Cricetulus griseus: one gene and its partner. The protein of the gene in region 1 interacts with the protein of each later gene in a biochemical or structural test. Links are inferred from orthologs where the notes say so. Each region holds a gene or a part of one and is shown on either strand. Other genes may lie near its edges.

Region 1 (4,115 bases):
GTGGAGAGGACCTAGGGTCTGAAAACACTATCCTAAGACTTAGCCTAATATAGCCCAGGACAGTCTAATAACCACTGAAGTCCAGATGTACAGCTGGGCAGTGGTGCTGCCCACCTTTAATTACCAGTGCTTGGGAGGCAGAGGCAGGTGGATCTCTGTGAGTTCAAGGCCAGTCTGGTCTACAGAGCAAGTTCTAGGATAGGCTCCAAAGCTACAGAGAATCCTATCTCAAAAAAATCCAGGTGTACAAACAACTTTACTTTCAAATCCATATTAAATATCACCAAACTCAGCAGGTCGGTGGTGGCGCATGTCTTTAGTCCCAGCACTTGGAAGGCAGAGGCAGGCAGATCTCTGTGAGTTGGAGCCCAGCTACACAGAGAAACCCTATCTTTAAAAACCAAAATTAAAAAATAAATCACCAAACTGTGATATACATCATTCTTCAGGATGCTGAAAACCACAATGTGTTATGGGTGCTACCATCATAGTAGGAAATTTTGCCTTTGTCAGAAATACTGGGCTCTGCCATCAGACAGAACCACGTTGATGGTAAGTATCCAAAACACCCCTGGAGCCTGTTGCTATAGATATTTACAGTTATAGTGGAGGATGTCAGAGTATGAGGACTAGCTTGGCAAATATGCTACAGCAGAAGCAGAACTCACCTTAGAACACACAGAAGCCTCTAGTCAGCATCCCAAGCATTTAGTTGCTACTTCCTGGGCCACAAATTTTCCCAGCTGCCAAAACTTCCTGTGGAAAACCAGCAGCCATTGCCAATATAGAGCACAGCAAACCAAGCAGGTAGACAGGGAACCAGGCTGTGGAAAGATCATTTTAGAGACAGTTTTACATACAATATTTACTACCATGACCAGACAGTGATAATTGGGACTGCTGCCGCTACTAGTGTTCCTTTCTTTAAGAAACAAACTTTTTTAAAAAAATGTATCCCTGGCTGGCCTGGAACTCATTATGTAGTCCAGGCTGGCCTGGAATTACTTTTCAAGTGTTGGGATTAAAAGGATGTATGGAGCCTGGAGAGATGGCTCAGAGGTTAAGAGCAGTGGCTGCTCTTCCAGAGGTCCTGAGTTCAATTCCCAGCAAGCACATGGTAGCTCACAACCATCTGTTATGATATATGGAAGCAGAATGTTGTACACATAATAAATAAATAAAATCTTTAAATAAAAAGGCATGTATGGAACACCTCGCCGAGAAAGAATGGAACATCTCCCATAAGTCAGAAGTATCAGGTCTGTGTAGGATGCTGTCCCTTATTAAGTGAATATTTGATTGGGAAAAATTAAATCATGTTTATTGTGAAAGTTAATAAATTGCGTTTATTCAGATGATATAGACCACCTATGGTTGTGCCTGAGACACTGCTGAATTGAAAATGTGTTGCAAAAACTGGCGAATCAAGTTGGACCATTGTGGCACTTGCCTTTAATCCCAGCACTTGGGAAGCAGAGGCAGGGGTGTCTGAGTTTGAGGCCAGCCTGGTCTACAGTGTGAGTTCCAGGATAGCCAGGACTGTTTCGAAAAGAAACCCTGTCTCCAGAAAAACAAACAAACAAACAAACAAACAAACAAACAAAAAACCCTGGTGCATCAGAGGCTCCTACTAGGCAGGTGAACATTCTAGCTGCCAGTAGAATCAAACAAAGAATGTCAACCTAAGAAACAGAGGCCAGGAAATCAGTTCCGCCCTGCATCCAGACATCTGCTGAGGAACATCCATTAAGGTTCAGGGGTACCATGACTGCTAATCTTGGTCACCTAGCTGGAGGGATCCAGGTACACTGCAGCTTGGGGTTCACCACGCTGCTTAGAGCTGACCTTGGGTGGGGGAATGACATTCAGATACTTGTTGCATCAGAAGCAACAGGCCAGAGAAGAACGTTGGCCTTCTCTAAACGGCCAACCTTGCTCTGTCCCCAAGCCTGCTGCCTCATCAGGAGCCTTCCTGGCACCTCTGCTTTCCTCATTGGTTCTGAACCCGGAGGAGGCAGGAAGGACGATTTCTCACTGCCCGATCCAGTCAAGCACATTTAGACACAAACACAAACCCTTGACATAACATCGAATGGCATCCACAAGGGGAACGAACCAAACCCAAACTGTCAGGCCACAGCCGCCAAGAGCTCACCTGTCGGGAGGTTCAGAGTCCCCCACCCGCCTTGAGAATCCGGCAGAAACCCTGATGCTGGGAGAATTGGGACTGGCTTCCGCCGGCCTGACCTTCCGTGAGAGCCCCCGTTGATCCAACCCTGTGGTCAGGGGTGCGCACAGTTAACACCTGAGAAAGGACTGAGACCGCCGCTCGCTTTAAAAGGCTCCCAGGGGTCTGGCGGCTGGGACCCGCTGCATCACCACCACGCACCGAGAACGCGCACCGGGCACGAGCTGTGTCCACGGGCGAAGAACCTTAAGCCTTCTGCACGCAAGGGCCGTGGACGGCTGCGCAAGTCACAGCCGGGTCAAGCTGATCTGGGCCTCTCGGCCCCGTGCCAATGCCCCCGGCGCTGGGAGGACGCCCGACCCGGCCCCCCACTTGCCCGGAGTTTCCGCGCCCGTTCGGCCCTAGAATACCGGACCCTGAGCAGCGCAGATGCTGACAGCGGATCCTCGGGTCGACACCGAGTCGCCAGCTGCACCTCGATGTCCTCCGTCCCTCAACGGCGCCTGTCAAGGCCGCCTCTCCCGCTCCAGCCCACCCGGCTGCCCCACCGCGGCCCCCGACTACAGTCCCCGGCCGCCGCACAGACTGTCGGGAGCTGTAGTTTGCGGCGCTTGGCCTGGGGGCGGGGCAGACAGCTCCCAGGAGGCCCTGCGCTTGACGCAAAGTGCTTGGGGCTGGGAGGCGGGAGCACAGGTCCCCGGAGACCATTCGCGTTGCGTATGCGTTTGGTCAGGCTGCAAACGGACTGACAGGCGCGGTGTCTATGGCTGGCGGGACCTCGGCTTGTCTAAAGAAGAAGCTGGAAATGCCCGAGTCCCGGCAAATAGGGACGCATTTGGGGAGAGAAAGGGTCGGAAAGAGGGGGTACTGAGAAGGCTGGGCGTGCAAAGTCGCTCCCGGAAGTACGTCTGGGCGGAGCCCCAGTGGCACGGGTCTCCTGCGCAGCACACGTTCCCAGGACGCTTTCCGTTGCCTTGGAGACAGAGGTTTAGAGTGACGTCTTGTCTCGGATGGGCGGGGCTTCCAGAGACATGACGAAGACGCATTTAAACTAACTTTTGGATTAATTTTTTGGTGGTTTGTTTCGTTTTGTTTTGTTTTGAGGCAAGGTCTCACTGTGTAGCACTGCTTGACCAGGCTGATCTCATACTCAAGAGTCTCACCTGCCTCTGCCTCCTGCGTGCTGAAATTAAAGCCATGCACCGCCACACCCGGCACGACTTAATTTGATGTAATTTGTTTGTTTTCCTGCGGATCTGGGGCGAAGAGGTCAACTCGGATCAACTGAGCACCCCACCTCCACCCTCTACTGATTTTAGTTCCTCGGACCTACAGATAAAAAGCAACCATCCAGGCCTTTGTGTTATAAACAGTATAAACCGTATACTGTTTACGTATCTTAGACAGTTCTGTGGAGTCTTCAGGCCATAACTTGGTTCTCCAACGACTCTCTTCCCACGCCTTGCACCCATGGGCAAGTTACCTCCGTACTTGTCCTGTCCCTTCACACAGCTTACTGACCAGGTTTATGCCCTGCTCTGCACTACCACACATGGCCCCAGTCCATTCCTGCACAGTCTTGCTTTTTTTCTTTTTTTTTTTTTTAATTTTTGTGGGGTCAGATGCTCCTGGTAAGCCATTTCACTGGCCTCCTTTATTTTGAGACTTACTGTTGCCCAGGTTGACCTTGAACACTCATCTCTAAGCCTTTCAATTTCAAGTGCTGGGGTTTCTGGCCAAGAGTCACCCTCCTAGTTCGGGGCTTGGTTTATCTCATGTCATCGGCTTTATAGTTTGTTTGAGTGGGTGGTGGGTTGGGAAGCTAGTTGGTTTTTGAGATTGGGTCTTACTAAATAGCTCTGGCTGACCTGAACTTTGTGTGTCATCCAGGCTAGCCTGGAACTCACAAAGATTCACCTGCCTCTAC
Region 2 (3,500 bases), on another chromosome or scaffold:
AATATAAAGAATTTTCAGTATACTAAAACACACACACAGCATACAATGCCAATAGCTTACTGCAGGTTAGTTAGCACATGTGCAATCATACTACATTGGAGACAGATGTCTTCAGGGTATCTGTTCACAGGGATCACTGCTTCTACTCATTATTCATTGCAATATTTTTATGTTACTGTTTTGGATCTAAGAATAGTACATGAAATTCTTTAGCTACAAAGGACCAAATCTCATGGTCTTTCTTAACGCCATCAGTTTCTCTACTCAAAGGCATTTGACACCTCCTTTCACATACACACACATCTACCTGTCTCCCCTCCCTCCCACAGCACTATCTTTACCCACTACAGAAAGTAGGAACTCACCAGAATAAAGTTGAGTCTAAATAACAAGAATTGTAATGGCCCTGGATACCTTTCTTCTTTCCAATCATAATCTCTAAACCTTCCTTTTCCATTTTTGGTGGAGTATTTTCTTCTACTACTTCACTTAAGTAGCCTCCAAATGCTGAAAAGATAAAAAATGAAAATAACTCTTTGAAACCATAATAGCATATATTCATACACATGTGCATATGTATATCATTTAAAGTATATTTTGGCATCCTCCTACAATTTTTTTTTACTTTAATTAACTGTTATTTATCTGGGCTTATTTAAAAAATGTTATTATTCACTTTTAACACCACTCCCTTCATATAGAATTTAGAAAATTAAGTCAATTAAGCACCTATCAAATAAATATTTTGTTACTTGTCCAAAATGTTTCATTTTCAAACATAACATTAAAAAATGTTTTTCATAAAGATGGTTTCCCTACTTTCCCCTGCTTGACTCTCACTATTGTTCAGAACAAGCTGGTGACAAGTGATGAGAAAAACTGTCCTCCATCTGCCAAGCTGACTGCATCTCCAGACTGTATCAGACTTCTTCATAGGATACCCTGAGTGACTTACTTAAATAAGATGGTGAGGGGGAAGTTAATGCTAAAAGGGCCACATTTTCATTTCTACCACCCATGACAAAAATTAAATGTTTATAATCAATAGAGAGAAAAAAACACTACTTTTCACTCTTTAGATCCTAAACACTTTTCCTGACTCTTTTTCAATGTATCTTCTCTTAGGACAGTTTCCTTATGCACCAAGTAACAATCTTTACTAACTCAGAAACTTGATGAACATTGGAAACTAAATCATTTAAACCCTATCACCCTCAGTTACTGAAAGGCAGCATGAAACAGTCATTCCGGATGGGTAATAAATTAAAAGTATCCAAGTACCTAAAGAATTACACCTTTCAATCTGATTAGAAACAGGCTGCAAGGACGCAAACCTAGAGTCGGGTCTGCAGCTCTTCAGTTTTACGAACAGCGCCTTCTTCAGGGCGCAGGTGAAGTAGCGAGTGCCCCTGAAAGTTCCGTCCGTACAGCCTGCACATTCATCTTCCTGAAAAAGAAAGGCTTTGGTATATGTTACACAGCACCTCGCAAAAAAAAAAAAGCAGGGAAGAACTATGGAATTTTCACTTTTTCTGAATTCAAATCTGTACTGACTACAACAGTACCAACGAACAGGGACTGACTAACTGTTGCTTTGGCCCCTAGCTAGTAGCTTAAAAAAACAACTCTTCAGCCCACCAGGAAGTACTTGATACATTGTCTTTCAAAATATACGCTCAGAATTGTCCAGGTTTACTGGCTTTCCCTGAGCCATTCATTCCAAAAGTATTAAAACCAAGCGGCAGGAGTAGATAAATTACCTAGTTCCTCGACAGCAAGAAAACAAGTGAAAAAAATTAAAAACCATACATAGTTAGGTAATACCTAAGTTTATTCAAGTTCTCCCTTCTGGTTATGAAATATCATACTATATGCTTTTCTAATATCCAAAGATAAAACCTTCCCCTCTCCCAAAGACCTCCAAACATGATGATTAATAAAGTCAATAACGTCCCTACACTGACTGCAATGGGAAGAGGCTAATGAATAAGAAGAAAAGCTGGTAACAGAATTGCTTTCTTTGCTGCATTCTGTTTATATGTGGAGGCTAAATATTCTAGCCTAAAAAATATCAATCTATTCCTTGATCTTAGAGAAACAAACATGAGGAATAAGTGAACCAGAAGCTTGAGGAACGGCAAAGGGTGAAGCTAGGCAATACTATAAGAAACTACTGGCTTTTTTTTTTTTTTTGACAAATAAAACAATTTCCCAAGAAATTATCTAATAGGGGAGAACCTAGACAAAAATCCCATGCAGAAAAGATGTAGACTTTAGACCAAAACAAATTACCAGTTCCAGTCCAGCTAGCACGTCACTGAGCCCTGGTGGCTGGCCAATCCAACGGATAACCCCATAGAATGGGGGGTTCTCTTTCACTTCAGCCAGTGAGCCCACCTCTAGACCGTGTGCATTACCAGAAGAGATGGGCAAGGGTGGACTCTCCTGGACAGGTGTGCTGTTCAGCTCCCCCATCACAGACTGCACTGACAATGACAGTGGACTATGAGCAATGCTGCCATTGGTATTGGGCATCTTTGTCAGGCTGAAGGGTAAAGAGTGAAATCTGTTCTCGCTGGATAAGGAGTTCATGGAAGGAGGTTGTGGTGGTGATGATGAATGTCCAAAGTCTGGAGACAGCTCTGTAAGTGACTTTGCAGGGTCTTCTGCAACTATGAAAAATTGTCCTTAATTAGAAAAGGTTGTTCATGAACATTAAATATGCCTGCCTCTCTAAAAACAGTACAAAGTTCTCTTCTAACTGACCACATGATCCTTTTGCAAGTCTGCTCACAAGTACTGTAAACTCACTGGCTCTGAATAATGCTCTTGTTTCTCTCTTTATCTCCAAGTTTTTCTGATGGGGATGTCTTCTGTATATGTTTGTCTTATTGGTTGATGAATAAAGCACTGTTGGTCAATAGGGAAGCAAGACAGGTAGGACTAGGAGATGAGGAGGATTCTGGGAAATGTAGGCAGAGTGAGTCACAGGAGTAACAGGTCCGGACTTGTTTTCCAGTAAGAGAAGACCATGTAGATATACATACATTAGTAGTTTTGGGTTAATAATTAAGACAGAATTAGCCAATAAGAAGCCCTTGTCACTGGCCAACAGTATTCATAACTAATACAGCGTCCAAATGTTTATTTAGGGCTCTGAGGCTGCTGCAGAACTGGGTGGGAAATCCCATAACATTTTTCCACATCAGTAATCCGGCACCCAATTGCTCATCTATGTCTGGTCAATGTCACATAGGTTATAGTCTTTGCCCATAATATGACTAAGTTAGAAATTAGTATGAACAGATACAAAAAAATTAACTAACAATTCTAAATAGAAAGAAAAAAAGTTTTAGAAATCAAGAGAAAAGAAACCAAAGAATAAAGAACATCTGTGGAATAAGTAATGTTTTTAAAAGAAAATTACTGACAGCTTATTTTAGAAAAAAAGCTAGATATTAATTAACTCACATACAGCTTGATATATCAGAAAGGCAGAA

Evidence for each region. The genes of interacting proteins can lie anywhere in the genome.
Region 2: of the proteins of Mib2 (region 1) and Cyld, one has a biochemical effect on the other in vitro, tested with the Homo sapiens proteins (2 studies listed by BioGRID, with this or other methods). The link is inferred for Cricetulus griseus from reciprocal best matches to the Homo sapiens genes MIB2 and CYLD.

The regions. Positions count from the first base shown.
Region 1 is NC_048595.1:604,017-608,131, reverse strand, and holds the start of Mib2 (E3 ubiquitin-protein ligase MIB2), read right to left. Parts: upstream 2,801-4,115; 5' UTR 2,599-2,800; exon of another isoform or gene 2,390-2,598; intron 2,277-2,389; 5' UTR 2,156-2,276; intron 825-2,155; 5' UTR 669-824; intron 1-668. UniProt on the Homo sapiens protein: E3 ubiquitin-protein ligase that mediates ubiquitination of Delta receptors, which act as ligands of Notch proteins.
Region 2 is NC_048596.1:164,355,799-164,359,298, reverse strand, and holds part of Cyld (ubiquitin carboxyl-terminal hydrolase CYLD), read right to left. Parts: intron 2,673-3,500; coding exon 2,293-2,672; intron 1,448-2,292; coding exon 1,282-1,447; intron 508-1,281; coding exon 366-507; intron 1-365. UniProt on the Homo sapiens protein: Deubiquitinase that specifically cleaves 'Lys-63'- and linear 'Met-1'-linked polyubiquitin chains and is involved in NF-kappa-B activation and TNF-alpha-induced necroptosis.